2 linked regions of the Mus musculus genome follow. The protein of the gene in region 2 interacts with the protein of the main gene of each other region in a biochemical or structural test. Links are inferred from orthologs where the notes say so. Each region holds a gene or a part of one and is shown on either strand. Other genes may lie near its edges.

What was found. The genes of interacting proteins can lie anywhere in the genome.
Region 1: the proteins of Noxo1 (region 2) and Noxa1 form a complex in vitro, tested with the Homo sapiens proteins (2 studies listed by IntAct). The link is inferred for Mus musculus from reciprocal best matches to the Homo sapiens genes NOXO1 and NOXA1.

Annotation. Positions count from the first base shown.
Region 1 is NC_000068.7:25,085,196-25,088,843, reverse strand, and holds the end of Noxa1 (NADPH oxidase activator 1), read left to right. Parts: intron 1-1,644; coding exon 1,645-1,714; intron 1,715-1,816; coding exon 1,817-1,905; intron 1,906-2,069; coding exon 2,070-2,224; intron 2,225-2,543; coding exon 2,544-2,658; intron 2,659-2,756; coding exon 2,757-2,871; intron 2,872-2,989; coding exon 2,990-3,120; 3' UTR 3,121-3,177; downstream 3,178-3,648.
Region 2 is NC_000083.6:24,694,752-24,699,091, forward strand, and holds the start of Noxo1 (NADPH oxidase organizer 1), read left to right. Parts: upstream 1-1,482; 5' UTR 1,483-2,245; exon of another isoform or gene 2,246-2,373; intron 2,374-2,885; exon of another isoform or gene 2,886-2,975; intron 2,976-3,468; 5' UTR 3,469-3,591; coding exon 3,592-3,657; intron 3,658-3,765; exon of another isoform or gene 3,766-3,766; coding exon 3,767-3,847; intron 3,848-4,034; coding exon 4,035-4,110; intron 4,111-4,193; coding exon 4,194-4,340. Other genes in the region: Gfer (FAD-linked sulfhydryl oxidase ALR), read right to left, coding at 503-699, 1,080-1,316. UniProt on the Homo sapiens protein: Constitutively potentiates the superoxide-generating activity of NOX1 and NOX3 and is required for the biogenesis of otoconia/otolith, which are crystalline structures of the inner ear involved in the perception of gravity.

The DNA of each region.
Region 1 (3,648 bases), on a different chromosome or scaffold from region 2:
TGAAACCCACCACAGGGACCAGATGGTGGCTGTTAACAACAGATTGGAGCCTCTGTTGGATGTGTGGTGATCAGACCACTTGATAGTCTGGGGAAAGATAGGTCGGAAGGACCAAACAATGTCTTCCTTCCTGGCCATTGCAAGCCTTCCAAGCCCTTGTGAAGAGGAGTTAGGCAGGAACCCTTGCTTCCCTGGAGCAGGCCCATGAGCCAGTGGTGAGCACTTGAAGAAAGCTTGACATGAGCTTATTGCAGGACACAGGACAGTCAGTTCCATGTGATCCAGTCTTTAGTTCATTATAATCCAACAGTGCAATGTCCTTTTGAACAATTATACCCAAAATCCCTAGGACTTAAACCTGCATCTGCCAGCCCCTGTCCTGAACTGTAAGCTTCATAAGGGTCACACAGTGAATTTCCATAGTGTCTCTTTAAGACCATTTCACAAGCCACATCCATGAGTGTCCCACAGAGGGTAGAGGTCCCCACCTCCTCTCCAACTCAGGGCACCCTAGGCTGGGCACCTCCTAAGACTCTGTCCTGGACCTCTCAGGGTCAGTGGGGAAGCCAGCATTGAGATTTAAGGATTGATAGAAGACCTAGGAAGTAGACTGACTCTCCACTGATGCAGGGCAATCTGTAGACTCCAGGCCTATGGGGACTCAATTGTATCCCAAGGCATGCCTATGGTGTGGGCCTACCATGAATTTACTCCCAGAGAAGTTTGGATAATGACTTCCTACTAGCTGCTGGCTAAACTCCCAGACTATATCTTTAACCGTTGACCGTGCTAGGACAGAGTCCAGGGAGTTTCTGCCCTGAGTCCAGACCCACCATCTCAAGACTCTTGTACTCTAGGTCCACCCTCAAGCAACACACACACACACACACACACACACACACACACACACACACACACAAACACACACACACACACACAATTGTTTATACAAACCCAACAAAGGCAAAAACCCACCAAGGAACATCTAGGAAACACTACCAGACAACACCAGCAAGGCCAGCATACAATGGAAATGCATCCTTTAACAAGGGCACTCAAGGATGCAGAACTCAACAACTAGAGAGTAGCCAGGTTACCAACTCAAGTGCGAGCTGAAGACTTCGTTGGAAGGGAAAGGATAGGAAGGCTATAGTCACATTTATTCTACTTGATTCATGGCACAGAACAGATCTATGTAGATATAATACAAGAGCTCACACTTGGAGCAAAACCCTCCTGAGTGTCAAGGCTGAAGTGTGAGTTGCAAACTTCTGAAGAAAAGGTTAACTCTATTGAAACTTGGCCAAGTGTCTTACCTGGACTATACTTTACCCTTACCTACAAAATGCTCGTGTAACCTCTTCACATACAGAGTAGGCTCTCAACATCCAGCTAAACATGCTTTTCAGTAGAAGAGTGTAGCCCCTATCACACCTGAAGGAAACTTGGCAATGTAAATAGTAAAAGCCCTGGTATGTGTTCAAATTGTGCATAAATAACTTTTAAACAATTTATACACAAATAGTTTTGTATAATGTAAGATGTAACAAAACTAACTAAACAAAATGTGTTACCATGGCTGCAGCTGGCATGTGTGAGGACCCACACTTGTGAGATCCCTTTGACCACTGTCTACCTTTGCAGAGGTCCCAGGCGGAGCATGCTGGCCACCAGCCATCCTCATCTATGTGTAAGAGGGTCCTGAGCACTACGGGTAGGAGGAGCCTCTTCAGGAGAGCTGGGGCGTGGGCACTTGTCCCTTAAGGAAAGTTTGGGGTAGGGGCCAGCTACTTCAAAGTGTCTCCTTTATGAAAAGGTGGTCACACGAGCCCTGGCCTATATGATAGTTTGCTGGCATCCAGAAGGCCTGGTCCAGGCCCCTCTGAAGTTTCCTCAGGATCTGAGGTAAGAGCTATCCTGCTCTCCAGTCCCCTCTCATCAGCCACTTGGAGCAAGGAAGGTCATATCTCAGATTCTCTTTGACCTTTCAGCCCAGCCTCTATTCTGATTCCTTGGCTCCAAGAATAAACCTTCCTTCAAAGGCTAAGCAGCCCTGTTTTTGTCCTCAGGGAGCAGCTACAAAGGACCCTGAATCCTTGGTGACTGTCACTGTGCAGTGCCACTTTACTGTGCCCCTGAAGGTCCCAAGAGGAACTGGCCTGTCCAGTTTTCAGACACTACTAGCTCAAGCCCTCCTTCACCAGACGCAGACAGGGCAGCTCAGGTAAGTCAGAAAGCTGTGAGCATGGGGACTCTAAGCTACGGTACAAAAGGATGGATCTGAGCTACGAGGAAGTGAGGGCTCTTCTGAACTGAAGAGAAAGACTTCTGTTGTTGTTTTGCTCTGAAGTCGTCATTTTTCAGGCCCAGGACAGGATCAAAGCTAAGGCTCCCTTAGCTCTAGGCCTAAGAATCTAGGCAGCCACTGGAAGTAAAGGCCAGGCACAGTGGAGAGCCACAGAAGTTAGTTTCCTTTAGGGAAAGACCAGGTAGTAGGTACTCCCCCTACATACTGGAGCTCACCCTCAGGACTTCCTGTGCAGTTACAAAGCCCCAGGAGAGGAGAGATCCTGGATTCCCATCTCCACGGAGGAGTCCCTGCAGAGTATATGGAGGAATGTGCCCGTGGGCCCAGGAGGGTTGCAGCTCCAGTGCCAGGTGAGCCAAGGGGAGAGACCATGATGCCTGCTGTGGGCATCCCAGACAGTTGGAAGAGAAGCCCCTCTGCTGCCCCTAAGCCTACCCTTCTGTTACAGGGGGTCTGGGGCCGGCCAGTCCTCTACCAAGTAGTAGCTCAGTACAACTATCGTGCCCAAAGACCGGAGGATTTGGACTTCCACCAAGGGGACACGGTGGATGTCCTGTGTGAAGGTAAAAGGCTGCCCTTTCCTGCCCGACACTACTGGCTTGCCCAGGCCTGGTGGGGACTCTGCTCTCTAGGGCTCAGTCTTTGTTGTAAGCATACACAGCACCCAACATGTCTCCACAGTGGACGAAGCATGGCTGGAGGGACACCGAGATGGCTGCGTTGGCATTTTCCCTAAGTGCTTTGTGGTCCCAGCTGGCGCCTATGTGGAAGCCATGCTTGTACTGGGACCCCAGCCAGGAGACCAGAACTAGCAATAAATACCATGACAAAACCAGCTTTAATTAAACAAGCAAACAAGCAAACAAAAATGATTCCCTCATTCCCAACTTGATCTATATTCTGGGATTGATGATAAAGAGAATCCAACCACAGGCTCTTGTGTGAAGAAGCTGGGCTGGCCCCAGAGCTGGACTCTGACTGTCTGGTCTAGTCTGATATAGTGAGGAAGCAGGGAGTCTCTGCTGGGCTGGCCACAGCCTTCTGAGGTGGCACTATTCCAACAGCTGCCTCTCCTGTTTCTATCCTATGGACAACATCAGTCCCCATAGCCAGTGCTATCCTGAGGGCATAAAGGAGTCAGTACTATCAGCAATTGGCCCTCCTGGCCCAATTGATGGACTGGAGTCCTTAAAGGTCAGGGGTTCATAAGGGCAGGCATCTAGGATCTGCTCAGAAGGTCCTGTGTGCCAAAGGCCTTCTTTCCTAAGAACAGTTGATGGTGGATCACAAGGTTGACAACACAAACAGCTGTGTTGTCACTGTTGACTCAACACTTCTGC
Region 2 (4,340 bases):
AGGGTTTCTCTGTGTAGCCCTGGCTATCCTGGAACTCACTTTGTAGACCAGGCTGGCCTCGAACTCTGAAATCCGCCTGCCTCTGCCTCCCTTCAGTCCAGTTTTTAAAGCTGGTAACTAAGCTGAGAGATTGGCTTGAGCCCCATAAGGAAGAGCTATAAGGACTGGGCTTTTGAGGAAGGAGAAGGCCCCCAAACCCCAACATCCCTTTTGGTGTCCCCTCTCCTAGGAACCTGTCACTTCTGAATCTACTGTTCTAGGCCCCTCTCTATGACATCAGCTATGCCCCCCCCCCTTTTTTTGTGTTTCTTTGAGACAGGGTTTCTCTGTGTAGCCCTGGCTGTCCTGGAACTCACTCTGTAGAGCAGGCTGGCCTCGAACTCAGAAAACCACCTGCCACTGCTTGCCAAGTGCTGGGATTAACGGCGTGCGCCACCACCGCCCGGCATCAGCTAGGCCCGCTCTAGGGACCTTACTGACAAGAGGTATAGCCACAACTTACCTCTTCCTTATGTCTTCCGCACATTCCTCGCAGGGGTAAAACTTGGAAAATATATGTATGAACTGGGCCATATCCTGTTGTTGTTCTGGCGTGGGCCTGTCCGGGTAATAGGCGGCCAGCGTATGGAGGAAAGCCCAGGTGTGGCGACCCAATTCTTCCCGATCCTGTGGACAGTCCTCCCTAAACTTGATGTCCCGCTGCAGAAGTAGGCCGACTAAAGGTCAATTCACTCTTACCCAACCAGAAAGCCCATAAAATTCCAACCCAGTGGCAGACTGCTTGCGTTGTACGCCAGAGGCCTTCGGTTCGAATTCCCATTATCACTAATAATAATCATAATAATAATAATAAAGGAAACAAGAACGCTCCCTTTTTCAGTTGACAGCCTACTAACTCGATCTGACTAGCCAGTGGCTGAAAGCGCAAAAGTTTGAGCCTAACGGTGTGTGTGGGTGAGGGGTAAACATGTTTAGGCATAGCCAACCCTGAGGGTTTGGGCCGTGCGGTAGCCGAACGGGAACCTGGAAACCAGGTGTGTGGGGGACCGGGACCGGGCGGCCAAGCGGGGCATCTGCACCTTCTGCTGGGTCCGCATCCACGACTTGAAGTCCACGCAGGCCCGGCACGGTCGCTTCCCGTGCTCCAAACCTTGCGGCGCCGGGGCCGCGGCAGGGGTGGTGTCGTCTCTATGCCTTGCGCCGCGGCCCCGCGCGTCAGTCACCAGGTCGTCGGTCATCTCGGAGCGCGCGCCGCCCGGCAGGAAGGAGAAGCGACTGCCGCGAGGGAAGCCCGCCGGCTCGCTGGGCGCCGCCATCTTGCTGGCGTGCGGGCAGCGGGGCCAAGAGGGCGTGCCGGCGACAGTTCGGAGGAGCGTGCACGCCACCGCCGGCGCGCGGCGGCAGGAGCGGGAACCGCAGCCCGGGGCTGGGCTCAGGCCGGGGCAGGAGGCGGGGCCTGGCGGCGGGGCGGGGCTGGGGGCCGAGGCGGCGGCCCGGGTCGCGGAGGCGTAGGAGGCCTCGGGGCGGGAGGAGGCGGCGCCGGAGGCCCAGGCCGAGGCGGCACTGGCGGCTGCGGCTCCGGCTCTGCGGGTACTCTTGCGCCTGGTGACCCGCCGCGAGCCCGGCGTGCGTGGTCCATGGTGGGGTTCAGGCTTCCTCCGGCAGATGTGAAGTGTGTCGTGGAAGGCGCGCTGCGGCTGTGCTGAGATCTTGGACTGAGATGAGTTCCGAGATGCTTCTCGCATCACCCCCATCGCTTGGCTCAGACACCTAAGGGCGGCAAAATTTGGGGTCTTCCTGCCTTACGACGTGCCCACCTACACGCTTCTCGGTGCCTTAGCAACGCGCGACGGGGCGTGGCCTCACAGAGACCAGACAGTACTTATTGCCAGAGGCTACCTGTGCCCTAGTAACTGTCCCCCACTGCGCAACCTTGAGAGAGGGCGTGTCCTCATCCTCTAGCTTGGATAAAAGATTATTATGCCTATTTTAATAGCAGCCTCAGGAATTTCTTCCTTTTTTTTTTTCTTTTGGAGACAGGGTCTCATGTAACTTGGACTAACTTTGAACTCTGTATGTAGCTGAGTGAAGATGATGTTGAATTCTTGAATCTTTTTGCCACCACACCACCTCTTCAAGTGTTTGACTTAAACGCCTGTGCCATCACAGGAAGAATTCCTTCCGCTGCCTCCATGTGTTCATTTACTCTTTCTGCAAATATTTGTAGAGTGGCTGCTCTCTCCAGGTGCTGTTTCCTCCACTGAGCAGAACAAGGAACAAGCCTCCCTCTTTAGCCTTTAACCAGTGATGCAAATGCGGAAAACCCAGTACACCAGAATCATATTTACAAAACTGATGAAAGCTGTGCAGGGGGTGAGGAGACCCTTAGGCACAGGCCTTTGGGATAAGAAATCAGCTCAAATGCTTGACATTTTACAGAAACACCAGTGACGCTGGGGGCAGGGTCTAGGGAAGGTAGAGGAGATAGAGGCAGAATCCAGAGTCCGGCAAGGCCTACTTATGACCATGGTAGCAACTGGCATTTTTTTCCCTAAAAACAGAGATGTTGGGCAATTTGGGACAGTGGATTTTGTGTGTGTGTGTGTGTGTGTATTTCAAGACAGGGTTTCTTAGTGTAACCAGTCTTGACTGTCCTGGACTCTCTTTGTAGACCAGGCTGGCCTTGATCTCAGAAATCTACCTGCCTCTGCCACCCAAATGCTGGGATTAAAGGCATGTGCTACCCCACTGAGAACAGATTTTTTTAAAGAGACAGGGAGGAACCCAGAGTTGGGGGCTCCTCTGTGTGCATCTGAGAGAGGCAGTGGCTAGATAGAGTGAAGAGCATCTAAGGTTGGGAGGGGTAGACAGGGGCTGTCAACTGAGTGGTAAGAGGGGCTCACAATTCCTCACTTTTCCAGCTTCTGTCTTCTGACTTCCAACATTTCTGAAAAAAAGCCAGAAAGTTATTAAAGGTAATGCCAAGACTTAGCTAAGTAAGGAGATTGGCTTTATGACCTAGCTACTCGGGAGCCTAAGACAGTAATATTCCCAACTTTGGCAAAACCCTATCTCAAAGCAAAACAAGACAAAAACAACCAACCAAAACCAAACCAAACCAAAGCAACCAAAAAAGGACCCAGTAGTTGACTCAAGGTTGTCTGTGTCTGTAACATACTGTACTGTAGCCCAGGGTGGATTCAAAGAGCAAGCTGTTAGGCACACCCTGGAGGAGGTCACAGCAGGATGAAGAGGCAGAGGGGGCAGGTGAAGTTGAGGCGGCAGGTGCTTTGGTGGTGGAACTCCCTACAGTTTTTCTTCCCCTGACTAAGGAAGGAGAGGAGCCCCAGGTGGTTCTGTTTGAGAACAGTCTTGTACAAAGGGCCTTTTCTTCCATCTGCCCAGGCTTGCCCCTCCCCCTGGCAGTCTTCCTGTGATGAATCCTCTCTCGTTTTTTTGTGCTTCAAGAACCAGGAAACTGAACTCTTTCCTGGATTGTGAGTGCTTCGAAGGGACTCTACTTAGGGCAGTGTTGGGGAATTCCACTTCACTTCTTCCGGATGCTCGGAGCTCCTTCAAGCATCCATAGTCATGGCAAGCCCAAGACACCCAGTATCAGCCCATGCTGTAGCCTTGGTGCAAATGGACCGACTCCAGGTAGACCACACTGCCCCGTCCCTCACCCCTGCACCGATTGTCTCCAAAGATGCAAAAGGAAAACTGGCAAAGACTGAAGGAGATGTCGCCTCTACCTTTCCTCACACAGACATTTGCCTTCTCCGTGTGCTGGTCAGACAACAGTGACACATTTGTGCGGAGGAGCTGGGATGAGTTCAGGCAGCTCCAGGTAAGTTAACACTGGGACTATACTCCAGTGGGTATTGGCTCCAGTCCAGAGTCCTCTGGATACTCCATCTGTGGATGACCTCAGTCCAAGGACCTCCCCTTCTGCCTGTAGGAGCTCTTCTAGGGACCCTTCCCTCCCTAGGGGGTTCTCTCCATCTCAAAGACTAACACCTGCTCCTCCCCACCAGAAGACCCTTAAGAAAACCTTCCCAGTGGAGGCAGGCCTGCTACGGAGATCTGAACAAGTTCTTCCCAAGCTTCCTGGTCAGGCCTGTAAGGGTCATGGGATGGTAAGGGCAGTGTGCGTGAGTGGGGCCCCACAGTGTGTGCTTGTGATACCCGGGCAGATGCTCCATTGCTGACACGTCGGGGGCATACTGGTCGAGGACTGGTACGTTTGCGGCTGCTGGACACCTATGTACAGGCATTGCTGGCAACCTCAGAACACATATTGAGGAGTTCAGCACTTCACGGCTTCTTTGTACCCAAACCTC